Rhinolophus ferrumequinum: one gene and its partners. The protein of the gene in region 1 interacts with the protein of each later gene in a pairwise test. Links are inferred from orthologs where the notes say so. Each region holds a gene or a part of one and is shown in the gene's direction. Other genes may lie near its edges.

Region 1 (7,505 bases):
AGGGTGGGGCAAGGGAACTATTACCAAAAGGGAAAAAAGGATTGTTTTTTGGAGGAGGACTTTATTTCTTTGGGGGAAGAGAACTGAAAGGTTTTTTATCATGAAGATTGCCTCTTCTTTTTATGGGGAGTGGGGTGGGATGGTAAGGGCCCAAGTAACAGATTACTTTAGTAGTGCTTGACTAGAAAACTCCAGACTGGTTGATTAAGATTACGTTTCTGGGAGAGGTTGATCCTACAATTAGATCAGGTATTAAATCTAGGTTTGGTATTATGGGCTTTCAGCATGAGTGATGCCATTTTGGGCCAGTGGTTTTCTCATGAACAAAAGTAAGCTAGAGAAAAGAAAATGTTATTAAGAAAATCATAAGGAAGAAAAAATACATTTGCAGCATTTATTGAAAAAAATCAGCATATAAGTGGACTCGTGCAGTTCAAACCTGTGTTGTTGAAGGATCAACTGAGATTTAGGTTTTAGAAGGGAAGATCTAGTGACAGAATAGATTGCAGTGAGGTGAGATTGGGAGAGACAAGAAAGTGCAGGAAGAAGCCAACTGAGAGGCCATTGCAATGGTCCAAAGGATGGCCTTGGAGAGCATCAAGGAGAGAACGGATGCCACAGCCTAGGTGGTGCAAGTGCAGGATAAATGGCTGCTTCACTGTGGGAAAAAGGGAAGGAAAAAAGAGAAGTGACTCTAAATTTGTTGTTGTTTCTTTGGGTAGCTTCAAGGACAGTGTGGAATTGGTTTGGACTTGTTCAATTTGTGTGTCATTCAAATGCAGGTATCTAGTAGGGACAGTTGTAGTAAATGGGGGAGATTAGATTATCCAGGGAGTATGAAATGTTCTTGTTTGTTGTTTTGTCTGGTTTTTGTTTTTCTTAATTCTGACTAAATTGTTTTTAACAAATGAGGTTCCCAAAGACAATGAGGAAAGGTGGAGATCAGGAAGGAATAGTTATATTATAGTAGCTTCATTATGGATTATATAGAAAATGTTCTCTATTTCAAATAAGTGACTCATAAACTTTTGAAACACTACCCATTGAAAAGTTGGGGACTACCCAAATTATGATTTGGTACAGTTGTAGATAAATGTGTTCATGATGAAAATGTTTATTAATGCTGGCTGGAAAAACATACACTATTTAAAATGGGAATTAAAAAAGAAATCACCCGCTTGAACCCACCAGGAGGATCATAGTGTCTATTAATGTCTGTGTATACAATTTACACAATAAACCATTTGTCATGGAGCCAACAAAATGACAGCTTCTTCTCTACTGGGTAAGAAAAAACTTACATTTAGAAAACCATTATGCAAACAACTTCCTCAAGGTCATAGCAAGGGCATATCATTGTAAGAAGGAAGGGAAGAGCATTAAGAAGTTCCTTCTCAGCCCTCAAGGCCTTTAGAAAAATTATTGCCTTTTAATTCATGTTTGGATTGACAACCAAAGGTAGTCTCCAATTTAATGCCAACAGGGGTCCTCAATTTGGGGTGCAGTGAGAGGAGAGGCTTTATTCAGTGAAAACAGCTCAATTATGAAATAGCTCAGCTGTGTAATAATAGCATGGCTGTGAGACAGCTCAATTGTGGAACCACACTGTTGTGGAACAGCAGCTGTGAGGTAGCACTGTCAAGGCAGCCTGGGCAAGGAGGCCTCGCTGTTGCTGGTTTTGGAGCTCTAGCCAAGGAAATACAGCCTTTGGTGAAAATTGAAAGTGCACTCCCTTGAGGCAGAGGTGAAGCTGGCTTATCTAGAGAAGAATACCTGCCCTCGGTCCCTAACTGCTTCATTTCTATGCAAATGAAGACTCCAAATCTTCACTGTTTGATTGGTCCAAACAGCACTGATTGGTCAGAATAGAGCCACTCTGATTGGTCAGTGAATATGCAAATGATGATATAGCTGCACAGCCCCAATTGGCTGGGGCAAGTCTTCAGCCCATTGGTTCATTTACAAGCAGTAGGATTTCCTTTATAAAGGTTGGCTCAGATGGCAGTAACACAGTGCGGGAGGCAGACAGCTCAGGGCAGCTTTCCCCTGCAATACAGAGTGCATGAGAGACCTCTGTAAACAATGGCTGCTACACTCTTATTATGAATTTGAGCCCAGTTAACCATGAAGAGTCCTTTTTGGCATGTATATTCTTCTCTGGGTCAACGGGATCTATTTTGGATACAAAGGTTTATTCTTTGGGATCTTAAGGGCAGTGTTTTATTTCCATTTTCTCCCTAATTTCTCGATAGTCATTTGATTCTAAATACTATTTATTGCCTTGAGAGGAAAAATGACTTCTTTCTGTAGTTGGCAGATATTGTTAGAAACACGTGAAAGTATCTTTTGGATGTCTTTGGCCCAGTCAGCCCTACATTTTGCTCTTTTCCCCCCTTTCTTCCGCCTCCCCCACCGCATCCCCATCCCCAGTTCAAGCCGTTGTTTCTCAGTCCAGTTGTGGTGCTCCCTGGCCCATGCTGGTATTATGAGCCCTGAGCAGCTCTCCTCGGCTGCTCATGGCAGCCCAGCTCCAGGGAGAGCTGTTGTTCACAATCTTAGCTGTAGAGGGCGCAGCTCACGCCCATGTGGGAATCGAACCAAAAACCTTGGTGTTAGGAGCATGGTGCTCCAACCACCTGAGCCACGGGGTTGGCCCACATTTTGCTCTTTCAATTTGTAATTTTCCTTTGCCTTGTTTTACTCCTTTCTCTTCTTTCAATGGCCCATTTGCTAGTTCTCTATTTGTTAGCATTTCATTAGGAGTGGGTGGGCAATGGGAAGGAAGAAGTGTATGAACTCAAATTTCTAACTTTTGGAAAAATATTTCAGTCAGGACATCTGAAGTTATGTCCCTTAAAGTTGTGTTTTTTTTTTTTTTAATTGGGGAACAGTGTGTTTCTCCAGGGCTCATCAGCTCCAAGTCATTGTCCTTCAATCTAGTTGTGGAGGGTGCAGCTCAGCTCCAAGTCCAGTTGCCATTTTCAATCTTTAGTTGCAGGGGGCGCAGCCCACCATACCATGAACGGGCAACCTTGTTGTTGAGAGCTCGCGCTTTAACCAGCTGAGCCATCCGGCCGCCCCTCCAGAAGCTCAGGGGCAGCTCAGTTCACTGGCCCACGTGGGAATCGAACCGGTAACCCTGTTGTTCAGAACTCACGCTCTAGCCCACTGAGCCATCCAGCCACCCCCAAGGTTGTTTAGTTTTTGAAAAGTGTAATCTTACACAAAGTAACTGTCTTTTGAACACTAATATCTCCAGCCAGCCTTAGAATTGCATTTTGAGGGCCACAGGCTAAGGAACTTCAGAGAATCAACCCTCGCTTTTAAAGCACTAGGATTTGAAAAGCTGCCGTGTAATTATGTAAGTCAATATTTTAAGTAATGCAACCTATACAAGAATTTGTTTTTCCATTAAAACGAATACTGAGAGGGATGTTTTAATTGTACAGCAAGTGCAGGTGCAATGCAAGTTCAAAATAAGTTTGGGGCTGGTTTTTGTGAACCTGAGTTAGCTGCTTGGTGATCAACATGATTTTTCATTCTACAGAAGCCTATCGGGCTTCAAAGTGAAGAACTTGACCTTGTTCCTCTGTCAGATTTAAATAAGAAAATGATGTTTAAAAATTACGTCCTCTTTGCAGCCGGATGGCTCAGTTGGTTAGATCGTGAGCTCTGAACAACATGGTTGCTGGTTCTTGATTCCCACATGGGCCAGTGAGCTATACCTTCCACAACTAGATTGAAGACAATGAGCTGCCATTGAGCTTCGGGAGGGGTGGCTGGATGGCTCAGTTGGTTACAGCGCAAGCTCTCAACAACGAGGTTGCTGGTTCAATTCCCTCCATGGGATGATAGGGCTGTGCCCCCTGCAACTAAAGATTAAAAATGGCAACTGGACTTGGAGCTGAGCTGCACCCTCCACAACTAGATTGGAGGACAATGACTTGGAGCTGATGGGCCCTGGAGAAACACACTGTTCCCCAATATTCTCCAATAAAATTTAAAAAATTATGTCAGAGGACTAACTCGAGTTAGGTCTGCTCCTAGGGCTTTCTTTACCCCCCTCAGGTTACTGGGCAGGAAACGTGTGGAGAGGAAGCGGATAAAAAATTTTCAATTCCCAGCAGCAGAGCGTTAGAAAAAATTCCACCCATTAGTGAGCCCTTGCCTCCTTAGAACAGTGTGGTTTGAAACAGGGTTTCTCTTATTTCCTTTTAAAAAGCCTTTTTTTCTCAAGGGCTTGAATTCTGGTACAGTGTTCAAAATGTCAAGCTGGTTTTCGCTTTATAACATGTAATGAAGCCCTCCTCTCCAGCCCTGAGACTGTTTAAAATAAAATAACAATTTAGGTCGTGGAAATTCTAGGGGGGTGGAGTGGGAAGCTAGGGTTGCCGACGACAACGAACTACAGCTCCCACAAGCCCTCGTGGGACTGCTATCCGACCAACGTCCCACCAGTCTTGCGCTTGCGCAGAAGACCCTGCGCTAAGAGGAGGGGGCGGGGACAGGATAACGCGCTCCGAGGAGAAAGAGAAGAAGGAGGAAAAAAGAGACCATAGACTTCCATCTGGGCCTAGAGCGGCTCTTAAAGTAGTGGGGAGAGGAGGGCGGGCGGGGACCACGTTCAATACAGGCCGCCGGCGGTATCATGGCGACCCGGAACCCCCCTCCCCAAGGTGAGCGGCCGGGGCCCGAAGTAGTATCTGAGACGCGGCTCACAGCTCTCGACCTTGTTCCAGGGGCGCCTCTTCCTTCCCCTGCTCCAGGGTTCCTGGGGCTGTTTTTCTGCGACAGGCCCTTTGAGCACCCCTCTGATCTATACTCCCCCTCCCCTCTCGGCGGAACGCAGGCGAAAAGCGATCCCCACCCCCAACACAGCCCACCTCCGGCCTTACCTTCTTCTCTGGCCCCTCATTTCCATCTTCAGACGCGTTTTTCAGTCTTAACTCTGAAGTAATTTCTTCTTGACGGACCCCCTAATCGGTTCTGTCAGGAGAACCCCTTCTTTCTCCCACCGATGAAAATGGACCCAGTTCTAGCCCTGGCCCTGAGATTTGCGGGTTACCCTTCATGTTGTGAAACTGATCTGACGCTATTGAAATTTGGAGGTTAACCCCTTACTGCTGTGTAACTTTGGCCTGATCCTACTGAGACTGCTGTGTAACTTTGGCCTGATCCTACTGAGATTTGGGGGAGGGGGACGACCCCTCACTGCTGTGTAACTCTGACCTAGCCCTGGTTCAGGCCCCCAGGCCGGCCCTGGGCCTTTGCAAAGGAGATGCTAGGCCCTTTTACTCTTGAGGCCCTCGTCTCAGGGATTGGATGTAACAAACTCTTAATGTTTCCATCTAGATCTTTTTAACTGTAGTCGAAAAGTAATAGTGCTTTGTAACAGATAAAAATTGTGTAGGACGGTTCTGATTTTGGTTGACTCTAAATGTATCTTCCCCATTTTGTATTTTGAAGAATATGAAAGTGATGATGAATCTTATGAAGTGTTGGATTTAACTGAGTATGCAAGAAGACACCACTGGTGGAATCGAGTGTTTGGCCACAGTTCTGGACCTATGGTAGAAAAATACTCAGTAGCCACCCAGATTGTAATGGGCGGAGTGACTGGCTGGTGAGAATAACATCTTTTTCATTACATTTCACTGGGAACCTGACTGACTGCTGCCCTTTTGTACATGGGACAGTTACTGACCTCACTTACTAGTGGTTTTACACTGTTAATCCCAGAAGAGCTCTAACTTGAGACTTTTCTCTGTGATATGATTAGTGTAATCTACACTCAGAGACTCAGTGTTGGGTTTTGGTGATCTCCCTCCCCGCTGCCCACAATTGTTCCACTGTTTCCTCCTCACCCTTCCTTTGATTCTTTATATATTTTTCCCCTTCTCAAATTTAGCTAATGTAGTGGATCTGATTCAGTGATAGTAAAGAGAAAGAAATAGATGAGTTAATTATATATTTTACTTGATCAGTGCTAACAACTGGAAAAACCTGTGATATTCCCACAGTAGAACTGGTCTCTAGGATTGTCAGCTCTATAGAGAGCAGTGAAAATTCTCAGTAAAAATTATTGATTATGATACAGATGATTGTGTTGATTTTTGTGGGCTAGTTTGGATTGTAATACTTGAAGAGGAGTTGTAGAACACTGAGCCTTTGTTGGAATTAAAGGATGGATTGCTTATTCTAATAATATGGAATACATTAAGCAGTTAAGCATTAACCTAACCAGTTAACATTTCAGATCACATGATTACATAATTGCTACTATAGATCTAATTCTGTTATTCTTAGAATAAAAGATTAGCCAAGTAACGGGTCAGAAACAAGTTTGACTGTTTATTTTGAAAATGTTCATTACCATAGAGAATTTTTAAAGTTCGTGTGGGTGCTTAACATGTGCACCATCATTTTTTTCCTTAGATTCTAAGTTAAATTCATCTTACATTAATTTAGATATTTACATATTTAAACTTGATAAGTATAAAATTAATTCTTTAAATTTGTATTTTACGTGCACCTTGGAACAATGGTGCACTCCTCTGTGCCTTTTTGTAAATGCCATTTGATGGTAGAAACAATCATTGTGAAGGTTCTGTGATGAAGAGGTACAATATTTATTCATGATGTATACTTATTAATGCTGCTTATGAATAAAGCCTGTAATTAAAAGAGATGCCTGGTTAGGGCCCTGGTTATTCAGACGATTCTCCACAGGCTAGTTGTACCTTGATCTCCATAATTTAGGGTCTGGTCCCCTGTTTAAATAAGCTCATAATCTGGTGCCATGGGTGATTGGTTAAAGTGTCAGGGCCTAAAGCCCTATCCTAAAAGAGATTAAAAAGTAATTGAGCAATAGAATTAAATCATTGTATGTTTTCTCCTTGTAGCTCAAACTCAGTGAGAAACTCCGTAATTGGCAGAAGTTTGCTTGGAAAGCCTAGGGATAGAGCAGAGAAGTTGGTTCATTTTAGTGACTTATGCCATCAAGCAAAGGACAGACATGCTTGTGGAGCACGCTGCCTGGGATGTTGTTGAGACTTGACTGCTGCTTGCTTCCTCCACTCCTTTTCTGAGCCTTTGTTGCGGACTTCCTACCTGAGGGACAGTCTTTATAGTAATACATGTTTGGATAATAGCCAGGCATCAGCCCAGGGACTGTGTAATAGGACTAATACTACACACGTGATTTGCTGCAATGAGTTTAGATTCAGTGTAGTAAATTTTTGTAATTTTCTTAGGATATAAAACAGATGTGCTACTGTGGCATACGTGAAGGAGGAATGGTTAATAGGCATTAACTTAACTAGTTAACAATACAGACCAATTCAGGACATGAGTGGGACGCTGAGGAGATTATATTTAGCTGTAGGTAACTATAGATTTTTTTGATCATAATAAGAAATTAAAACTAATGTCAGGGTGGTTGGTTGCTAGGAGAAATGGAGGTGTGAAGATTAATTAGACGGTCTAGAAGATTAGTTGGTGTGGTC
Region 2 (7,676 bases), on another chromosome or scaffold:
GATGACAAAGCTCTGGGTCCTCGTCCTCATTTTGCCACGAAGTTGGGGGCCAGCCCACTACTCGTTTCGGTGACACCTGGCCCTGCCCTCCCTTGAGAAGTCAGAGCTACAGGAAATCTTAAAAATCATACCGTTTATCCTTGCCACTCTGTCCCCACCTTATGGGTAATACAGTAGAGGCACCAAAAGTTACACTGACTCAGCTTTATTTTAAAAATGAATGTGAATGCACAATGTGCTTTCCATTGCAAACAGCAGGAAACTTAACAAGCCCAACACAAATACCCAACTGCAATGATTCAACACACAATTCCCGTAAGTGTCGGGCACTGTTCTTTGAGTAAAACACAAGTTCTTACTGTCCTGAGACAGAAAAAAATAACCAAACAACCAAGCAAACTAAGATAATTTTGGATATTTAGGTGCTAGGAAGAAAATCAAAGGAGGAGAGCTGCTAAAAGGATGATCTGGGTGCTACTTTAGATAGAAGAGGTGCCATGTGAGGTGGGACTGGAGTGATGAGAAAGAACGAGCCACGGGGAAAGCGACAAGGAAAAACATCTGCAAAGACTGTGAGGTGGAAACAATGGTGGGATGTTTGCTGAACAGCAGGATGGTCCGTGTGGCTGGCAGGGAGAGGAAACGCATACTAGATGGGCTCAGAGGTACCAGGGGCCACATTATGCAGGCCCTGGGGGCCACAGGCCGAGTTTGGATTTTTGATGACAGCTTTATTGAGATACAATTTACCTGCCGTACAACTCACCCATTTCAAGGAGGAGTATGGATTTTATGCTAAGTGTCAGAAGGAGTCATTGAAGGGGGATTAAATTCTGATCCACATTTTAAAGACCGATTTGGCTGCTGCGTGAAGGATGCATTTGACAGGTACTGAGAATAAGAGTAGAAGCCGGGAGGTTCCTTGGAAAAATCGTGAGGTAGCCCAGATGAGACATGGTCCCCGTCTGAACCAGCACTGATAGTGGAGAGAGACGTGTTCACGTTCAGCATATATTTTGGAGAGAGAACCAGCAGGACTGGGTACTGGGCTAGGTGTAGGGTGAGGGGAAGGGAGAATGGTGACGCCGCGTATTAGATGTGTGAGGAAGAGTGAGGGAGAGAACTGAGAATCCTGTTTTGGATGGTTAAGTCCAGGGCACCACACGGTGGCACTCTTCCGTTTGGGAGGCGCATTCATAGTTCAAGTGCCAATATTCAGAGACCGACAGTGGCCAGGCACAGAGGATACAGAGATTAAGGAAGCCCAGTTCTGGCCTTGCCCAAGTCACTCAGTCCCAGACAAGAAATACGTCTCAGGGTACCAAGGGCTGTAAGAGACAGTGTCTGTTGGGACGCATTTGGCTGCAAATAACAGACAACTCTGACCCGGTCTGGCTTAAACAATACGTGTACCGTCCATCATCACATACCACACGGAGTCCAGCCTTCTAAGGTCCTCTTCGCTTCGCCCTCTTCTGGATTTTGGCTGTATCATCACCTGGGAGCAGGATGGGCACAGCAGTTCTAAGCTTCCCATTCAGACCTGGCAACATTCAGAGGCAGAAGGAGGTCCATTTGTTTGGTGTCTCCTTCTTAAGAATGAAGGACCCTTTTTGGGAACCCCCCCTCCCCTGCACACACACACACCCAAGCAGATCCTTTACCAATCACTGGCCCCAAAGGAGTCACCCCGAACCTGACACAAGCTTCCGGGGAAGGAGAATAGGACCCCCCCCCAGAAGTGGACTAGACCTGTCAGGATTTACTCCTGGACAGGAGAAAAGGTCGCCCGGAACAAACTCAGGGCCCTGGCTGCAGGAAGATGGAAAATGGCTGTTGAACAGGAGTGCAAAGTGTCCGAAGCATGAACAGACTTGAGGGGACCTGGAAAGCCATTGGATTTCAAGAGTATCTTTTTTAAAGAGTTCAAGATTCTGCACTAAGAAGTTTTTCTTTAAACTGGAATCACAGAAAACAAATGTTTGAAAGAGAGAAAAATTTCCTCCTCAAAACAAATCCACAGCCTCCTAAGTCACAATGATTTTCGACTTCCCTTGTCCCCAAGGCCCCCAACTCCCGTCTTGTACAGATGCCACCTTCCTATAGTAGCCAGGCTTCCGCTTCATTTAACACTGCTCACAAGCATTTTCACAGGTGGCTGGCTCCTCTCGTCTCTGCAAGTCTGAGCCCATTCACTAATATTTCATTTAGTGGCCGTGCCAAAATTCACGCTACCGTAGCCACAGCCTGGACATTTGTGTTCCTTCTGCTCTTTCACTGGGATATTGGTCATAGGCAGGACTGGACATCTGGGGGAGATCCCCTGGCCCCCAACGTCAGTCAGAATACAGAACATCTGTGAGCCTCCTGATACAAGAACACCGACAAACGAGCTAGGCTTCTCCAATCAGATACCTGCACGTGAGGCTTTGAGTTGACCTGTGTTTGGGGGTGGGGAGTGCGGGGCAGAGAGAAGGTCTCTTTCTTGATGCAGAAATGGCTTCAGTGCCAACAGCAGTAGCTGTTACAGACAAATCTCAGTCCTGGCATGCAGTGTATGGTGGCGTAGCGACAGTTTTCTTATCAGGTCAGATCAGTTCTGTGGCTGGGGCGTTATTTCTCCAGCCCATCCCACAATTCCGGAAGCTGCCTAATACCCTTAAAACAAATCCCTCTTCTGCTTACACCAGCCGGCGTCAATTCTGTTCTCTGTAAATCAAAACTCCTGACTTACAGAGGATGCTACATCAACAGCTCTACAGAATTTTCTCTCCCTTTGGACTTACTTTTCTGAGCACTGTTTCTCAAATCTCAGTTGTTCATGTACCGCCTCCCCCCACATTTGCCATATATACATACCACCTATATTATCTACCAAATAGCGTGTTTAAAATCGATTCATTTTCTTAAACACAGTATTTACTGTGTTTATTCTTTGTTTTTTAACTAACACGCGTTAAAATAAATATAGCGCCACGAAAATGGAAAGCTTTAAGTTTCTTTAAGAAGAAAGTTTAAGTACCACCCCCAAAAAATCTCATATCCCTTAGTGGCCAATAGTGTCTTAGGACAAATTTCCAGTAGGGTGACTGAGATACAGAGTGGGGACCAAGCACACCTTTTTATACTGTACCAGCCCCTCCCTAAGCAGAGCTGATGGGTTGGAGGACCAGAGGGAGCGAAGTGTCAGTATTAAGTTCTTCAGTTTAGATGAGCAGTAAAAGGATAGTTAAACGACAGTTTGGTACAGTAGTCAAGTGTACACTGTTTCGGAATTCAGTTGTATTGGGTTTCTTCATCATCCCCATACGCAGTTTTCTCACCTGTAAAATGGGGGGAATATGGGCCCTACCACACACAGTAACACTGGGAACCAATTCACTGACTGTGAACCAATGGGAAGCATTTGCATATCTGATCCATAGAAGCTCGAGTTTACTGTGTCCCAAACTCTGAGCTTCAGAAGGGTGTGTGTGTGTGTGAGAGTGTGTGTGTGTGTTTGTGTGATACATAAATATGGTTTCCCTGTCTGTGCCCCGACCTTACTGAGTCATCATCTCTAAGCAAGAATTTAGGGAATCTATTTGAAACAAACACCATCAGGTCAATTGAGTCTTAGGACGTGATGAATTGTAGAAACATTAACCAGGGCCGAGCTGCTGCTATTACCATCCCAGGGTGATAAGACGATGGATGAAGGTTATTATATACTATCCTTGCACGCATCCGGTCAGTCAGCAGATATTTACTGAGCACTCACTGGGTGCCCCGTCCTGTGTGAGATGCTAGGGACACGGTGGGGACCAGAAAGGCTCCGGTTGCTCTGAAAGGTCCCTGAGGCTCACCCTCAGGTGTCATTAGGGAAATTGTGTGGGAGGGTGGGGCGACGAGCAAGGGAATTACTCCCGGGGCTCCTGAGGGCCATAGGGGTAGACGGCAAAGCTTTGTCTGTCCCCGCAGGCTGTGAGCCAAGAGGGTGGATATTCGAGAGTCAAAGACTGGGGGACCTGGAGGCCCCACGACCCCATTCCTGCCTCCTCCCCAGCTCATTTCCTTTCCGAGCCAGACGTCAGGATCTCCGTATGAAGTAGATATCCCTCCTGTAGTCTCATGTTACAGATAAGAAAAGAAAAGCGCAGAGGAGAGATGGGTCACAGTTGAGTCCCACCCCCGAAAGGCGCCCAGGACCGTCTTTCTCAGCCTGGCCGCAGAGCCTCGTCCTACCTGCAGCTGCGGGACAAGGGCCGCCAGATCTCTCGTCTGACCCGCGCAGTGGGTCGGACACCAGGGGGTTCGCGGCCAGGACGTTCCTGAGCAGTCCGCGCCGGGGCCCCCTCCCTCTGGACCCGGTCTCGCCCTGCCTACCTCCCACACTAAGCGCAAAAACAGCCCGCCGCCCTGGGAACTACAACACCCATGAGGCTTCGGGGCGCTGGTGCATTATGGGACGCTCGCTCTACACCGCTCCCCAGGGCCGCGGGAGAGAACTGCGTGGACTTTCTCCCCCCGGGAGGCCGAGTGCGTCGTGGAAACCTCTGTCCTTCCCCGCCCCGAAGACACCAGCATCTACCTACCTTGACATTTTCCGTCCCGCGCCCGGAAGTCGGCGAGGGCCATAAAAACTGGTGGCTAGAGGCGCCGGGATTTGCCCTCCGGGCCCTCACTTCCGCCGGAAGTGTCCTGCAGTCGCAATTGCCCTTTCCTCATTGCACGCGCGGGCACCCGGTACCGTCTTCGGGGCGGGCGTACGACCACCATGGCGGCCACCACCCTGCTGCGCGCGACGCCCCTCTTCAGCGGTGAGGGGGCGGGGAGGGCGAGCGCGGCCCAGGAGCACGTGGGGGCCGTCAGGAGTGGGCCGGGCTCGGACCCGCGCCCTGACTCCAAACCTCTGCCCCGGCAGGTCTCGGCGCCGGCCCGACCCCCGCGCTGCAGGGTCTGTTGCGGTCGCTGAAGGCCCCGGCCCTGCCCCTTCTGTGCCGCGGGCTGGCCGTGGAGGCCAAGAAGACCTATGTGCGCGACAAGCCCCACGTGAACGTGGGAACCATCGGCCATGTGGACCACGGCAAGACCACACTGACCGCGGCCATCACGAAAAGTAAGCGGGGTTGCAGGGGGCGCCTCGGCGGCGCCCGCTCTGCCAGCGGGAGGGACCTGGGGCCGGGGAGGCGGGGCCAGCGGAGGGGCCGCTGGAGGCGTTTAGTGGAGCCGCAGGTGCCGGAGCTCGGGTGGCCGGTGGGTTGGAAGCTGTTGCAGGAGACAGCTTTCCCCTCCCGTGAACTTCTTCGTGATGGCTGCATTGGGGGGAACGCTGGACGGCCTCCCTCCCGCCGTGGGGGCTGCTTTGTAAGCGGAGGCTTCGTTTTACCCTCGAGAGGTCGCTGGGCAGGAGCTTGAGACCCTTGCTCCTGCTTTTCTGACTCGGTTACCTCTGCTGGAGGAGTCGAGGGGAGGGGACCACCCTCCGGGGCTGTCCGCGTAGGGTGAGGGGCCCAGGGGTGTGGCCCGCGCCCGGCCTCTCCCCCTGGAACCGCAGCTGAGAGGTGTGTTCTCCGCCCTCCCTTAGTTTTAGCGGAGGGAGGCGGGGCCAAGTTTAAGAAGTACGAGGAGATTGACAACGCCCCCGAGGAGCGCGCCCGCGGTATCACCATCAATGCGGCCCACGTGGAGTACAGCACTGCGGCCCGCCACTACGCCCACACAGACTGCCCGGGCCACGCAGATTACGTTAAGGTGAGAGTGGGGCTGGGGACAGCGCCAGGAGCGCCTGCCGGCAGGAAAGACGGGAGACTTGTGGGGAGGAGGCTGAGATACTCAAGACGTCTAGGCTTGAGACCTGTAGGGATGTGGACCGAGGAGATGGCTGAAGTAGGTTGTTTCTTCTCTTCCCGCACCCAGAATATGATCACAGGCACCGCCCCCCTCGATGGCTGCATTCTGGTGGTGGCAGCCAATGACGGTCCCATGCCCCAGACCCGAGAGCACTTATTACTGGCCAAACAGGTAGGCAGAGCCTGGGTAGGAGTGGAAAGAGGAAGAGTAGGGAGCGGGGCCGCTTAGGACCCCATGTCTCTTTCCCGCCTGCAGATTGGAGTGGAGCACGTGGTGGTGTATGTGAACAAGGCAGATGCCGTCCAGGACTCCGAGATGGTCGAGTTAGTTGAGCTGGAAATCCGGGAGCTGCTCACGGAGTTTGGCTACAAAGGGGAGGAGACCCCTGTCATCGTGGGCTCTGCGCTCTGTGCCCTGGAGGTGAAGGCAGCCAGGCAGGGGGCTGCTGTGCGTGGCAGAGAGGGTGGGGTGGGCAGCAGAGCTGTGCTGAATCTGGGTGTGGTTCTGGGTAAGCAGGATGGAAACGTCAGAGTCCTGTCACCTCCCCCCGTAGCAACGCGACCCTGAGCTCGGCCTGAAGTCTGTACAGAAGCTGCTGGAAGCCGTGGACACCCACATCCCTGTGCCCACCCGGGACCTGGAGAAGCCTTTCCTGCTGCCTGTGGAGTCAGTTTACTCTATTCCCGGTGAGAACCGTGTCCGTTCGCATCCTGTCGCCCTGGCAAGAGCCTCGCCCAGGGTCCCTGATGGCCTGTCTTGTTCCCTCCCAGGCCGGGGCACGGTGGTGACAGGTACGCTAGAACGTGGCATTTTGAAGAAGGGAGACGAGTGTGAGTTCCTGGGACATAACAAGAACATTCGCACGGTGGTGACAGGTACCAGAAGCCTGGGGGTCCCGGGGCTGGCTCCAGGGTGACGGCTGTCCCTGCAGATGCTTTGTGCCTCCCCTCTGCCCCAGCCCGTCCTCCCTGGTCTCCCCTGCTCCCTCCTAGGCATCGAGATGTTCCACAAGAGCCTGGAGAGGGCAGAGGCTGGCGATAACCTGGGAGCCCTGGTCCGCGGCCTGAAGCGGGAGGACCTGCGGCGGGGCCTGGTCATGGCCAAGCCAGGCTCCATCCAGCCCCACCAGAAGGTGGAGGCACAGGTGAGCCCGGAGGGTGGAGGTCAGGTGGGCAGGGCTGAGCCCATCCGGAGAGGCAGAGCTTCCAGCCACGTGCTGTCTCTTGCAGGTTTACATCCTCAGCAAAGAGGAAGGAGGCCGTCACAAGCCCTTTGTGTCTCACTTCATGCCCGTCATGTTCTCCCTGACGTGGGACATGGCCTGTCGTGTCATCTTGCCTCCAGGGAAGGTACGGGGGGCTGGGGAAGGTGAAGGCGCGGGGTAGGGGGCGCTCTTCGTATCAGCTCTGCACTTACAGTTCCGGAGACGTGACAATATGGGTGACTTTGCCGTGGGCGGAGAGGCTGGCAGGTGACACAGATGAAACTAGCGATGGAAGGGTCTGAACCCACGGATTTGGGGTGAATGAGGCCTGATCCAGTATTCCCTGGGCTTAGCTGTACTTGCATTTATGCACAGAAAGGCTTGCAGAAGGCGGCTTCTCTTGAGTTTCACTGTACGCAGGGCTCAGAGAAGTCCGAGACAAGGAAAGCTGCATAACCCCGAATTTCAGGCTGTGTTCTCAGGTGCATTCCTGTGACCCTGTCCCCGGCCCCCTCTGGCCTTCGCCTGTGCTCTGTACCTGCCTGACAGCTGGGAGGAGCCGTCCTGTCACGTTGGCTGCGTTTCCCAGCAAACAGGTGGCGGCAGAAGGGCACCCTGCAGGCCGCGGCTGACCTGTGTC
Region 3 (7,609 bases), on another chromosome or scaffold:
AGGCAGCCATTGTTGTTATCAATCCTAGTATCTGTACTGCCAGTCTCATTAATTCATTCAGACAACCTAAAACGTTTTGTCAAAGCATGGATCTTACGTTAGATATCTGTTGCATATGCTATTCCCTTAGAAAGAAGAAAAATTAGGTAGCTACTTCAAGCAATCAAAAGATCTGTTTATATACAAGTTAAAGAAGCATAGATATACTTTGCTAAAGGATTAAATACATTATGGTTTACATCACATAATAAGATCTGGTCAGATTTTAATTTGTTCAGACTCAAATGTGAAAAATAATGATCTATACTACTGAAAATATAAAAAGGTTTAGCTTGAAAAAGGAGAACAAAACAGGTTTTCAAAAGCATAGATTTATTCTAAACACATTTCTTTAATCCCCAGCCACAATGTTAGCTTGCAAAATATCTACTAATAAAAAGTTCTTTAATACCAACTGTTTGTTTCGTGATCTGATGTCTAAACCTTTGATGTAGGTAAACATTCTAACTTTAACATTTTGCCTTCAAGCAAAGTTATGTTCTACTTTTCATAACCCAGTTGTAAAGATTTCCAGGAAGTAGCAATCTGGTAGCAATTTTAGTGGTGTTTAAACTCAATGTCAGAGATGCTGACATATTATGACCGCATATCAGTTTAATATATCAGAAAAGTAAAGGCTAAACACTTGGTAATAGCTACAGGAATTCCAAATATATGTTTTGGGTGAAAACAAGGTTATAGGGCTGAGATACCAAATGGGTTTCAACATCTAACACCAATTTTAGGTGGCTGTTGCCTGAATCATTGTTAAGAATTTTAAGGATTAAGTTAGTGATTTGGGAGAAAGTGTGCTACGCTGTGGTCTAAAAACAATGACTTCCCTGAGAAGGCAGGAGGGACTGATTGGCCAGCTGTGTTCTAAGTTCAGGGTCTTACATATGGCTCAAGGCAACTGGAGTTCCAGTATTGGGGTCCTACCATCCTGTATCACCGCTTCTTGCTTGTATTCACCGCTTTGTGCATTGTTTCATCCTCTCTCTGAAAAATGGCTCCCCCGATCCCATACCCACCCCCACTCTGTGCATGAGGCAGGAGATGCTGCCTTCACATCACCTGCGTTTACTGTAAGCAGTGCAGGCAAGTAGTAGAGACTAAGTAGGGTTCTCATTGCAAACAATAGAGTCTCTACTTGTTTCAATCTGAAAAAGAATTTAATGGGGGTAGTTCAGAGAATACACAGGAAGATTGGTGGAACAGGCTCAGGCAGGAACCAAGAAGGCTAGACAAAGTCCGGGTTCTGCCACAGGGATGGTAGGCTTAGATGCAGGCTCCATCAACACGGAACTCTTGTTGCCTACTACTACTGGACTGCCCTATTCTGGACACTCACCTTCTGCCACTGGCCTTTCAACGCTACCACAGCCACCATGAATAATCTCCAAGTCACCTTTGTGTCACTCCCTCAAAATTCAAAATTTCTGGGCGTATTGGTACTCAGACCATAGGGCTACAATCGAGCGATTGGTAGAGGATCGATTCTCAGAGAAGAGGAACTTGGGTTAAACAGACATCCTCAAAAGGTGTCCACTGCATGCTATATTCTGCTAGGTGAAGGGCATGCGAGAAGATGCCTGGTACCATCCAGCTTAGGAACTGCTGTCCCAGAAGAATGAGGAACCAAGTTGAGAGTATGAAAGTCTGAAGTTATGGGTAAGGCCACCCAGGGGTAGGTAAATAGGCACCAGGAAGAACTGAAAACAGGGACTTTACTATATATAACAGGCATGGGACCAAATTGTAGGAAAATCAGAAAGAACTGAAGTCAGAAGTGAACCAAGAGATGACCCAAAAGTAGGTTCCAATAGCAAAAACTAGACATCCAAAAACTAGTCCCAGAGTTAGGGAGGCACACCAGGCACAGGTGGACTTCTAAGATTGTAGACCAGGTAGCCATGTAGGAGCTAGAAGCTAGAAGCTAGAGAGTGTAACAAAACAGAGCAAAAGCATGGGCAGGCATTGCTCAAGTTCATGAACATTGGCATTTGTTACATCTATTCATTGTAGGATGTGTCCTATACATCCAATGAATTAGATGTCTTAGACAGTCCTTGCTGCGTTGAGGGGAGTAAAATCTGTAATACACAATGACCAGCCCTGAGGCAATGAAGGCATCAGGAAAATTCAGAAATTGATGGGTTGCTGCACCTCTCCACTAACCTGAGCACAATGAGCCTAATGGTCAAGGATGAATACTTTCCTTTTGCCTGATCCTCCAAATCTTTGCTTAGAGGGGCCCTCATATTCTTCTCATGTTTTTCCTAACTGGGCCTATGAGCAGTTTAGCCTGGTGGAGGAGGCAAGGCTATGGTGGTGCAGACAACGTTAGACACTAAGTGGAGTGAAAAGATCCAGGCTTTGAGCCATTAGCACAAATCCAATGGAAGGCATGTTGGGGGTGGGGTGGGGTGGGGTAGTGGGATGGTTATTAGAGAGCAGAAACCAGTGCATGCACCCTATGTAAGACTGCAGGCTTTCTGCTTTTCAGGAAGAGAAAAACATCATCACAGCCTCAGTGAGGGAAGCAGCAGCAGCAGATTACTGACAGTAGGTAGAAGTTTATCCCAAACACAATCATTTCCTGGCAAAATCACATGTTCCAGGGTGAGAGAAAGTATGCCCCAAATTTTTTAAACTTTCAAGAAATTGTAACCATTAATAAACTTAAATACATGATGCATTTCACTTGTGTAGGGACTTAACGTATTTCATTCATTGTTTGTTTCAAGCTTTCCCCTAGCTTTTTCATCCAGAAGAATGTCCCATGGATCCAAGATTTAGGTCCCTTATCACTCTTTAACACATAAAATCCCAAACCTCTATGCTGTGTGCGAGGGAAAAGGATGTGCTTTTTTTCATACGGTTCATGAATGAACAGATTTTTACTTAAAAACAATTTCTATTCTACCAAATTCAGTGAGACTTTAAAGATTCTCTCTCTCTGTCTCTCGCTCTCGCTCTTGCTCTCTGCTTTATGGTCTTTTAAATATTCCTGGAAATAAGTGAGCCATTGAGTCTAAGATTGAAAAGTCTCCAGATTATTTACAGACTTAAGCTTGGGATTGTATGATGAATATTCCAAAAAAGAAAACAGAGAATGAGGTAATAAAAAGAATCAAAATGAGGGTGGAGAGAAGAAAACTCAGTAAGTTAATACAACCTATATCATGTATGACAGATTTTGACACCCTCTCCCATCTTTAAAAACTACATACAGAACATCTTCAAAGCCACTTTACCCTTTAAACTGGGTAAACTTGCAGTTGAGAGTTGATTTTTTGAGGTTGAGAGTTTAGAACAACAAAAATATTTAATTTAGAAGTTTAGAAACAGCCCAAGGAACTTATTTTCTAGTTTAAAAAAAGCTGAATACAAATCTACATGAAAATTTTAATGCCTACAATAAAGTCAATGGCAAATGAAGTTTCAGTAGCTAAATCAAATAAACCACTGTTCCCTGTTATGGGTACCTTTTTGTTAACGTGAATGCCTATACCAACTTTCTATTCATTTGGTGAGCTGAAGAAAAACATTGTTTAAACCCTTATATGCATTTCCTGAGTTCCTAGAATACCAGAAAACTGACACATGATTGTACTATTTCGTATCTGTGGAAGATGACTGAATTTCGCTAAAAACCACAAAGGAAACCAATAGTCCCACACTAATAGTTGATAGCCCCACCAAAGAGAAAATACAAAGAGGAAGTTAATCTAAGAGTGTGACTGGGCAGAAGTGATTTCAGCAGAAAAGCCTCAATATTCAGCCCGTTTGACTAACCCTCATCTTTATCCCAGTCCCCTCTGGACCTGCTCTCTTCTGCAGCGACTGGCTACAAGGAAAATAGGAAAGGTGCTTGGATTCAGATCAGCAAGATTCTAGTTGTGGCTGCGCCACTTTCAGGGTCGCAGCCTCAGTTTCCATAGCTGTCAAACAGAATAATACTTGTCTCAGGTCCCTCCCTGGGATGTTGCCAGGGTCGTGTAAAAATACTCTGTCCCAAGATAAGTCAAAGCCACCATCATTGGGAAAGTCGCCAACAAAACTCGGCTTCCCTCTACAGACAAGGCTGGTTCGACCTACAGTCAACAGGAAGCTCCTGGGCTGGGACAGACTCGGAAGGCGGCCAGACGCGAGCGTTTTTGGACGGCGATCAGGCTTGTGATGAGGGTGTTAGTAACGCACCCCTGGCTCCTGCAGCTGTGCGGAGGTTTTACTATCAACGACAATGGGTGAGGAAGCATAGTACTGAGAAGCAAACAGCCAACCAAAATAACTCAACCCTGTCCTCCCCCACAAAAACAAACAAAGCCACAAAGCCCTCCGCACTACAGAGAGCGGGTGGAAGAGAAAAGATAAAGGCGTAGGGGGCGGAATCTGCGCCCCCAGCTTCATCTCCTGCCGCAGCCCGGTCGGCGGCTGCAGGGTCCGCAGGGTGGGGAGGGGCGCTGTGGGCCGGCTCTCCGCGTGCAGCAGAGCCTTCTCTTCACGCCCCCTCAGCCTACGCCACCTCGGGAATCCGCCCCGGACCCCGCCGCCATGTTGGGTCGGGATAAGTGCCTCGAACTTGCCACCTAGGGGGACCGCGACAGGGGTGGTCCGCAGCCCCGGGCGGCGCGCGCCGGCGCAGGAAGGCTGGGGGCTCTCGAGCCCGGGTGGGCGCGGCGCCGGTTCCGGTGAGCCGGCTGGCAGCGCGCGCAGGTAGCCGCAGCCCCTGCCCCCGCCCCCGCCCCCGCGTGGAGGGGCGGAGCCAGGAGTGAGGGCGGGCGCGCAGCGGTGGGGAGGTGCGGAGTGAGGCCGAGGGGTGGGGGAGCCCGGGAATTCCCTCCTCCTGAAGTAACGAGTTAGGGGCCGGCTGTACAGTCGTCGCTGGCGCGGGGCTCCCGGGACGAGGAGGTGGAAGGAGGGAGAGGGCCCTGAGGGCCTCGCCTCCGCCCCCCACCACCCCGCGCCGCAGCAGCAGCGACCCATGTGAGCGCGACTCGAGGGCAGGTACGGACCCCGCGGCGCACCGCGAGTGGAGGCGGCCGACCCCGGCGGGGCAGCGCTAGGCCCAGGCGCCCGCCCGCCCCTGGAGGCGCCGCCGCTCCCCGCCCCCGCCGGCTCCGAGTCGGGAAGTTGGGGAAAAAGTTCTCCCATCCCCCGGCCCGGCTTGCCGGGCGGGCGTGTCTTCTTCCCGGCGCTACCTGCTCGCCCCCTGACTCGGTCTCCGCCCCGTCCAGTCCTTCCCGGTCCCGCCCAAGTCCGACTTAAGGTACTAGGATCGTTGGGACACCTCCCCCCCACCCCACCCGCGTCCGTAAGGTCTTGTGGGCCACCTGGCGAGGCGGGGGCGAGGTTTATTTTGGCTCGTTCCCCAAAGTAAAAGGCGAGGGCAGCGTTCCCTTTCTGTCCATAGATTGGGGGTCAGTGTATCGACTTACGCCGGTTGTCTGCTGTGCGGGGAAGGCGACCGAGAGTGTGTGTGTGTGTGTGTGGGACGAGTGGGTGAGCCTCACGCTTCACTTGGTTTGATTGAAAACCACAACATGTTCAAGTTTTCCTTTGTTTTGTGTTGGGGGTTGGGAAATATGCATTCACCATCCACTTTTACAGTATTATGCCACTGCCTCCCAATGGGTTCGGGTTCTCTGTCCACTTGTATTACAGACAATTTTGTTTTAAAATGTGTTTTTATACTTGATAATTGCTTCCAGCTTTTGCTTTATGGGACAGCGTTGTTTTAAGAAGCTCTTCGAAAATCAAGTCCGATGTAGGAACTACTCTGATTTTTGTATTGTAGTGAGTGGGATTGGTTCGGATTTGGTTGAATTATTTTCTGCGTAATTGAAAAAGGCATGGAATAACACTCTAACAATTTATAAATTATTAAGGTAGAGAAATGAAAAGTCTCTAGTGGAATCACAACTTTATGCTCATGCCAGTTGTTATGTGTATATGTTACATTGGTGTGTGTTTTCACATTGATGATTTCACATGTGCTGCATATGATTGTAGTATATTCGTGCATTATAATTGTAGGATTACAGTGCCAAAGGTAGCTTGGTAATTCTCAGTATATTTAAACCATCTTGTTAAATTGCTAAAGTTAAGTTACACATTGAGGAAAGTATTACTAAACGTGTACATGTGACTGCATTTAAGGCCAAGTATGTGGTAAATCTAATGTTTTAACTAGTGCAGTGTTTGGCACACAGTGGACAGGAAACGTTTTGAATGGACAGGTAATGAAGGAGTGTCTTGTCTTAGAGGCCAAGGATCTTGTATACCTCATATATGATTTTCGTATCTGTAAAAAAGTTGTATTTCATTAAGCCATACATTTGTTTTACTAATATATAGAACCCATGCCATCGTTTGACATTTAGAAAAGGAAGTTAAATTATATTTTAATTTTTGGACATTAGCTAAACCTCAGTGGAGATTTTGAATACTGGTTGACAATTCATAGGGTCCTAAATTTGAAAGAAAAAAAAAAGTTGCCTTTGATCTGAATACAAAACAGTTCATATCCATGTTTCCAGAATAAAAGATAAAAGGGCTCTTAAAATATGTCTCTACTATAACCACCATAATGTTATAATAGCTTTAATTTTACAGTATGTTTTTGCTGACTTCACAAACCACAAACTTGACTCCTTTTTGTTCAACTGAAAGTGAAATTACAGCTTTGACTTAATCTTCCTGGGATAGATGGAATTTGTCTTATGGCTGAAGTATATTATTAATACATGGTTTGAGTAGTTTTTTAATTCAGGAAATTCTCAAGCTGCAAAATCAATGTCCTTGCAAATCTTCAAGGTATGTAATGTTTAAGGAATAAATATTTTAAAAGAGTAACAGTGACTCACTATAAGTGAAATATTACCAACCCATGGTGTAAGATTTCTTTATACAAAGTTCAGCTTTGCACCTTTTTAGACAGTAAATAGTTTATTAATGTGATTTTTCTTTATAAATATATTTAATTCTCAATCTAGTGTTCAGTATAGGCATCATTTATTAGTTTCTGTTAGCATTATACTAAAAAGCCTGATATCAAAACATTTAAAAGAGCAATACTAAGTTCTGGTATGTAGGAACTTGGGTGATAAAACTATATTAAAAAAAAAAACCTGCAAGGAAGTGATTTCTATAAAAATAAAGAGATGGGAGGAGGGAGGAAGTTGTGATAGGGATCTATCTGGCTTCTGAAGTGGTGGCAAAGTTCTTTTAACCTGATGGTAGTTGCAAGGGTGTTGGCTTTAGTATAAATCATTAAGCCATACATTTGTTCTGTGTGCTTTTGTGTATCTGTGTTTCAGTTTACATAAAACTTTTTTTTCTTTTTTAAAGAAGCTTGTGTTTAATGTACTATGTAAGGTGCTTGGATAAAGAACTTAATATTTGGTGACTGACTTAAGAATACTGCCTGGGCTGTCCTTTGCAAACAGGATTAGTCTTACTATATCATAATTATCACATAACAGCTAGTGTATGTAACTATTTTGACATATAAATAACATGTTAATGTTAATATTTTGAGGGAAGACAGCAGGTTTTACTAACTTTA
Region 4 (6,931 bases), on another chromosome or scaffold:
TTGTTGTTTGCATCAAAAACATAGTGTGAGGTTTATGCTCAGAATATGTACTCAGAATGGAGTCGAGTAGTCGATGCCCTTATTTTGAAGGCAACCTAGAAATGGCTTTTAGATGAAGAGAAGTCAAGATCCTAACAACATAAAGAGAGGTCAAGACTTGCCCATTTGGGAAAACTATCCAGGGTCCTTACCACAGTCCAAGATGAAAATGTCATCAGCCACAAAATGCTTTTTAAAAAACAAAACAAAAACAAAACCTCTTTTATTTATTTAAGTGTGTTTTTCTGGGACCTATCAGCTCCAAGTCAAGTAGTCGTTTCAATCTAGCTGTGGAAGGCACAGCTTACAGCGGCCCATGTGGGGATAGAACCAGCAACCTTGTTGTTAGGAGCACTGCGCTCTAACCAACTGAGCTAACCGGCTGCCCCAAAAAATGCTTTTGATATATCCGGTCCAGTACTATTCATTTTTGCTTTAAAGATTGTCTGGGATGGCAACACAACTGTTAAATATAGCAACTGTATTTTTTAAATCTTATTATTCTGACGTTATATTGTATCTATGCTTTAAGTGGATGACTTTCATTTATTTCAATAACCATTAAAATAAGATTCTAGAATAGATGGTTCTAGTGTCACCTCCTGAAGGTGGCTCTGCTCTGAGGAAGGAGATGTTTGCCTCCAAAGCTCCTCTTGCAGCAGAAGGAAACACGTACTGTAGCTAATGTCAACTTAGTTACTGCTGAAATAGAAGGAGGTGACTGCTAAAAATTTAGGTGTATGAACATCCTGGGATGCCATGAGCTTTGCAAAAGTATTTACTAATTTAATCTTTATTCCATGATTTGAGGAAGCTAGTCTTTGTGGTTTTATTTAAATTCTTTAAGAGAGAACATCAGATTTTTTTTTAAATGCTAAAGATTTGTGTATATTGTGTGATTTTCATGCATTCATGACTGAGAACTGACTTCTCAGTTTCCATGTCCATAATTTTCTGATGTTTCATACAATTTACCTTCAGGGACAGAGAGTCGTTCTCTTAAAACTACACATTTTAATAATATTCTACTCCTTTCTAGGAGCTCCCATTTAGGGTCTTCTTAATCAGTTTAGAACTCCTGAATGTTTGCTTCAAAGGTTTCCAACACTTCTTTGACTTTGGTATTAATCTATATTGCTGAACCTTTGGCTTCCGAGTTCCCTCATCTAACTTCAGCTTTTGTTTCTATTCATTAATGAAAGTTTATCCTTTGAAAAATGTACCCTTCTTTCCAAAATATAAGATTGACATTCTCTGTGAAGTCTTTCTTGATAAGCCTCACTGGGCTTTGTGTTGGCCCTATTGCTCTCGCCGTCCCTCAGTATCCATGTTCACACACCTCTCCAACATTTGAAATTTATTCTCTGTATGTTATAGGTCTGTTCATGTGTAATTGCATACATGCATTATCCTTTTTCTCCTGCTGACTCACCTCTTCAACTAACGATTCCCGCAAGGAAGGCATCCAGTGTCTTTAGAACATTCAATAAACTAAACATAATGACTCAAAGAAGACGGTGATGTATATCATTAAGGCATATCAGAGAAGCCAATTAGAATGGTGAACTGGAAAAAGACATCAAGAAAGTGGGTAAAGATAGAAGACAGAAGGACACTGCACATCACTGAGATCATCGGGTGTCGTGCCTGTGGTTGGTGGGTGGTGGATCTTTCCCCTGAGAAGTGTACTAAGTCTTCCATGTGAGTGGTGGTGTGCAAATGCTTTGGACTAGGACACAGTGACCAGCTCGGAAAGCAGGAGTTTCAGTTCAATTTCTAACTCCTCCATTGATTCACTATCAGATGGTGAACAACCATCTTCATTCCTCAGTGTTTAATTCTATTTGCAAAAAAGGTATTTTCATTTTTTTCCCTCTCTAGCTGATCTTATCCAGTTGAATAGCTTTAAATAATTCTCTCCTGAATTTGAGACCACAGATCCATTTACTTACCCAACATCTTCACTTGGATGTGTCTCTCAAACATCTCATACTTAATACATCCAAAACTAAACTCTTGATTCTCAACCCACCTGCCAAGCTGGATCCACTCTATTTCAGTAAATGGCAATTCCATCCTTACAAAAACCTTGACTTATCCCTCACACCTCATATCCAATCTATCAGCAAATTTTATCAGCTTTACCTTCAAAATATATCTAGAATACAACTGCTTCCCACCAACTCCATAGACACCTCCATAGACACCATCTTGGTCCAAGCCAACATCATCTTTCACCTGGATCATCATGATAGCCTGTTAACTGTTCCCCTTGCTTCCATCCTCAACCCCCCATAATCTACAGTCGAGTAACTAGCCTGATCACTTAAAAAGGAAAGTTTATCATATCAAAACCTGTGCTTCACATGGAATTCAAAGCTCAATACAGTTTTGTTCTAGATCTCTTTGATCTCATCTCCTCACACTCCCCCTTGTTTATTCAGCTCCAGCCACAAGGGGTTCCCTTTCCGTTCCTAGAAACTACTTTATTTAATTAGCATTCTATCCCACCATCACTCTCTAGACACCAACCCTGTTTTACTTTTCTAAACAGCACCTATCATTTCCTGATATATTTATTTTTGGTCTTGTTCCGCTAGAATACAAACTCCATGAGAGCAGAGGTGTTGTCTATTCTGTCCACTGCTTTTCCCCGACACCCAGAAAGAACAGTGTTCCTATGTATACAACAGCAATTTCTAGGTATGAAATTCAAAGGATTTTCACTTCATTAAAAACATTCAAGCAAACAAAAAAAACTATCTTGGTTGCTCAGACACACAATCTTAAAATAACAAAAATACTTTTATTTATTTATTTATTTTTTTTTCTTTTTTTCCCCTCCCCCCAAAAATACTTTTAGAATGAAGCTAGATTCCACAGCATCTGTCAGGAATTTCAACTGTAGGAAACGATGAATGACAATGTTCAAACATTCAGGCCTTTCAGGTGCATCAGCATCACAGGCACGTGGAAAGGATCATGTGCCCAATTAAGCGAATATTCTTCTTACTTATTCACCAGCTCATAAACAGACGATGACCCACAGCAGACTGCCCTGATGATTCTGCTAGGAAGAAAGGAATGACATCACTGGGGAACCTGAAGGCTCAGGCAGTGACACACGCACACTCACACAAGCCTAGGCTGTGATTGCTGAACCCCAAGATGACTGACTGCCAAAGAAGCTCATCTCATGACCAGCTCTCAGGGGAATTCTCCGAGTTTGACAGTCACTTCGGACCCTCTGCCAATTAAGGTTAAGGAGTCTCTTTCTGATCATGGTGATGTACAGTCCTCAAATGCCTTTGTGATACCTTTTCTTAAACATTTATTTAAACAGCTTTTCTTGAATAAAGGAAGGAAATTGGATTTGTTTAAATTCAATTTCTAGGTCCAAGGCAACCTGCTACGGCTGTCCTTAGTACTGAACCCCAGGGTTGTCATCAGTAGCCCTCCCCACACACAGTACCCTCAAATTAGTCACAATCCCGGTATGGAGCTCCCTGTTACCACTCCAAACAGTACTCCCCGAACTGTGAATGCCTTAAACAAACCCTGCCACCCCCTCCCCCATCACAAGACCCCTCTTCTGTCATTCATACCTCCAAAATCCTCCCCGCCACCAACGCCCCAGTCAGGCTTCCCTCATGAACAGCCCTCTGTAAGGATCCTATTCTATCAGCCAGACGCTCAAACTCCCCTTTCCGTAGCCAACGTCCAACGAGACCCTACTTCTATTATGAGTTCCCAAATATCCCCTCCCCAGTCACCAATATCCCTCACAAATGCCCCTGTCGTCAACGTCATCAACTCCACTCACCCTCGGTTGCCCCTCGCGAGCCGCGCCGGAAGCCCCGCCCCTAGCAGGTTGCTAGGCTCCGGTAGCCGGAAGTCCCGCCTGCCGTGTATTCACCGCCGCCGCCGTCGCTGTCGTTGTTGTTGTGGTTGGTGCTCTGAGCTCCGCGGCTCCGAGAGCCGGCTGCGTCCCTTCCCCGCCGCCGCCATGAAGTGGATGTTTAAAGAGGACCATTCGCTGGGTAAGCGCTCGGCCACTGGCCGGGCCGTGGGGGCCGGCGCGGCGGCTGGGCCCTTCCCCCACTCGGGCCGCCCTGGGCTGGGCCGGGCGGGGCGGATGTGGAGCTTTGGGTTCAGGTCGCCGAGGCCCGGATTCCCCGGGTAGCTGCCCACAGACCCCGTGCCGCCTTCCGCAGGCCCTGCTGGGAGCCAGGGGATCGAAGACTGAGGCCGCTGGGACGCCCGAACGAGGGCCCGGGGCGTGCGTAGGTCGCGGGGGGAGGAAGGCTGGGTGCCCCGGAACCGGCCTGCGGGCAGGCCTGACAGTCAGCCGATGTGTTTCTCCCACAGAACACAGATGCGTGGAATCCGCGAAGATCCGAGCGAAATATCCCGACCGGGTTCCGGTGAGTGGACTCCCCGCCCCTTCACCTCACTGTCACCCCTGTCGTCTGGGACCCGTGACAGGGCACCAGGCCATTCAACAGTTGACAAGTTGAGGTTCCAGCCCCGGTTCTAGTAGCAGATGAGCCAGACTGGGTTAGGGGCCGTACGGATGCGGGCGTGAGGGGGCTGGAGCTGGTGCTGTTCAGGGTGCCTCAGTGCTGAATCTCCCGATCTAGGCCAGCGAGCTGGCTGCAGCCTCTGGGCTCCCTCGCTAATTATGTAAGGAACGATGTTCTAGGACAGGGCAACAGGTCACTGCCACTTTGGGGAGCGATGGTGGAGCAAGACTGTCACTTTGGTCTTGGACGTGGTACTTTAGTCTCAGGACATTCTCATCTGTAACTTTGAGCCACCATTTTTATCTGACTTCCAGCACCCTTTCCTTACCCTGACCCTGTCATCTTTTCCTGACCAAAAAAATCTGAGAAGCTGCTGAAAACCCCTTCTCCTGTAGTTCTCCCTTAATCAATACTAAATATGACCCTATATTTCTTTCATGGTAGGGGTGATGGTTTCTGTACTCCTTATTGATTTTTAAAGGACATCCAGGCCTGTTATTGTAGTTCATTGCTTGTGAACAATTTCTTTGGAGAGGCGTGAGGGGGACAAATCGGAAACCTGGTTCAGAGAGAATCAACAGGCCAAATGAAGAGCTTGGTTCTTGGCTGGCTGGAATAGCCAGTCATTTCCATTAGTCCATCCATTCTCATTTCCTGTGTTCCTTGGGATCTTAATTGCGCTGTAGTGTGAAGGTAGATCCTTTCTGGGGTCTTGGAGTAACAGGCTGCTGATGGAACCCTCACTAGATATTCTCAGGTCTGCCCAGACAAAATGTTGAAAGCTTTGTAGTAAGGGCTATGTTTCTCTTATGCATGCTGAGATCAGGGATGAGAAATATAGTAACTGACCACAGAAAAGCACTTACTGTTTCCCTATAACATATTTATATCAGTTCTTAACCTCCAGAGTATGTGGTCTATTAATTCAGGGGCATGTTTTTTCATGTTACACAGTTTCCCACCCACCTCCTTGCCCACACACTGTTCATCAGCTCCCTGACAATCCAAGGCCAAAGTCTTACATTAGAAATCCAGTCCTGATCTCTCTTTGCTTTCCCAGGTGATTGTGGAAAAGGTCTCAGGCTCTCAGATTGTTGACATTGACAAACGGAAGTATCTGGTTCCATCTGACATCACTGTGGCTCAGTTCATGTGGATCATCAGGAAAAGGATCCAGCTTCCTTCTGAAAAGGCGATCTTCCTGTTTGTGGACAAGACAGTCCCACAGTCCAGGTGAGAGATGTGTAGTAGTGTTGGTCATCTGCTTGGCTGCGTACAGAACTCAAAACTTTGGCGGTCTGAAAACTCTTAGAGGTCCTGACTGGAAATCAGGATTTTTGTGCTTCCTTACATTAGGAGCTCAGGGAAAATAAAGGCTGCAATAACTGGGAGTGTGCTTTGGGTTAAGACTAGAACAAGGCCTGGATTATTTTAAAAAAATAATGAAATCTAGCCTCAGACCCCTCAGAATCCTTTAAAACAGTTGAGGACTCAGTTAAGCTTAAGCCATCAGTAGACCTGAAACCTGGAATGGTTTTCTCCAAGTGATCCAGGAACTAAGTCTTGTCATTCTCCATTGGGAGCTTGTGGACCTTGCTGAGGCTCAGCTTCAGTTAATCATCCCGCTTGCTTGCTCTCTAAACTCAGTCAGCTCAGAGCCACTGTGAGAATCTGTAGCTGCCTGATCTTCAGTACACTACAGTGGCTGCTGTCCAGCAAAAGGCTCTGAGGTCCCTCTGCAGACTTAAACCTCCCGTGGTATCATCTGTGCTGTCAGGTTAACCGCCCCCATGCTCTAGCTGTTGTGCTTCCTGGAAGCAGTCTTTGGGATAACTTGGGGCTGAATCTAGGCAGGGCATTACAATTCCCTTCTTCCGTGTAGTTGACAGCCCAGCTTTAGTCCCCTGTGGAAAGAGGAAAATGGACTGGCTCAGTCTAAATCCCTGGTCAGTCCTTTCCTGTTAACTGATTGAATACTAGGCCCTGAGCCAGATGCTGGCCCCCTCTTTCCTGAGGTGGAGTTTCTGGCTGCATCTCATCTTTGTGGCCCAAACTAAGTTTCATTTGCTATCCCCCAAAAGTAGTACTTCTAAAAATTAAGGCTTTCAGAAGCCCTGGGAAATAACCCAATGTGGCCAAAATATGTTCCTTTTGAAAATCCTTGAAAGCTCCAGAAGAGGCCTAAGCCAAATTCTAGTCCTTTTCCTACGAAAGGTAGAAAGCTCTTTTTCAATCTGAAAGACCAGAAGGCAGAAAGGCTATTTTTTGGTGTGATTTGCTTTTTCCCAATCTCTACCACTTCTACTTCCTGGTGTTTGGCAGAGAAGCAGGGTAGGGGAAAAATGGAAGATTCTTCCCTAAGGTCTGTC

Evidence for each region.
Region 2: the proteins of FUNDC1 (region 1) and TUFM interact in binary tests that used the Homo sapiens proteins (3 or more experiments, as listed by UniProt). The two-hybrid records come from large-scale screens. The link is inferred for Rhinolophus ferrumequinum from reciprocal best matches to the Homo sapiens genes FUNDC1 and TUFM.
Region 3: the proteins of FUNDC1 (region 1) and YES1 interact in binary tests that used the Homo sapiens proteins (3 or more experiments, as listed by UniProt). The two-hybrid records come from large-scale screens. The link is inferred for Rhinolophus ferrumequinum from reciprocal best matches to the Homo sapiens genes FUNDC1 and YES1.
Region 4: the proteins of FUNDC1 (region 1) and GABARAPL2 interact in binary tests that used the Homo sapiens proteins (3 or more experiments, as listed by UniProt). The two-hybrid records come from large-scale screens. The link is inferred for Rhinolophus ferrumequinum from reciprocal best matches to the Homo sapiens genes FUNDC1 and GABARAPL2.

The regions. Positions count from the first base shown.
Region 1 is NC_046284.1:89,034,793-89,042,297, forward strand, and holds the start of FUNDC1 (FUN14 domain-containing protein 1), read left to right. Parts: upstream 1-4,487; 5' UTR 4,488-4,648; coding exon 4,649-4,676; intron 4,677-5,466; coding exon 5,467-5,623; intron 5,624-7,505. UniProt on the Homo sapiens protein: Integral mitochondrial outer-membrane protein that mediates the formation of mitochondria-associated endoplasmic reticulum membranes (MAMs).
Region 2 is NW_022680357.1:1,235,210-1,242,885, reverse strand, and holds the start of TUFM (elongation factor Tu, mitochondrial), read left to right. Parts: upstream 1-4,665; 5' UTR 4,666-4,756; coding exon 4,757-4,799; intron 4,800-4,903; coding exon 4,904-5,098; intron 5,099-5,566; coding exon 5,567-5,733; intron 5,734-5,898; coding exon 5,899-6,003; intron 6,004-6,087; coding exon 6,088-6,252; intron 6,253-6,385; coding exon 6,386-6,518; intron 6,519-6,602; coding exon 6,603-6,707; intron 6,708-6,824; coding exon 6,825-6,976; intron 6,977-7,061; coding exon 7,062-7,181; intron 7,182-7,676. UniProt on the Homo sapiens protein: GTP hydrolase that promotes the GTP-dependent binding of aminoacyl-tRNA to the A-site of ribosomes during protein biosynthesis. Also plays a role in the regulation of autophagy and innate immunity.
Region 3 is NC_046302.1:16,336,174-16,343,782, forward strand, and holds the start of YES1 (tyrosine-protein kinase Yes), read left to right. Parts: upstream 1-4,603; 5' UTR 4,604-4,758; intron 4,759-4,849; exon of another isoform or gene 4,850-5,049; intron 5,050-5,159; exon of another isoform or gene 5,160-5,311; intron 5,312-7,609. UniProt on the Homo sapiens protein: Non-receptor protein tyrosine kinase that is involved in the regulation of cell growth and survival, apoptosis, cell-cell adhesion, cytoskeleton remodeling, and differentiation.
Region 4 is NC_046298.1:22,923,708-22,930,638, forward strand, and holds the start of GABARAPL2 (gamma-aminobutyric acid receptor-associated protein-like 2), read left to right. Parts: upstream 1-3,917; 5' UTR 3,918-4,045; coding exon 4,046-4,079; intron 4,080-4,407; coding exon 4,408-4,463; intron 4,464-5,622; coding exon 5,623-5,795; intron 5,796-6,931. UniProt on the Homo sapiens protein: Ubiquitin-like modifier involved in intra-Golgi traffic. Modulates intra-Golgi transport through coupling between NSF activity and SNAREs activation. It first stimulates the ATPase activity of NSF which in turn stimulates the association with GOSR1.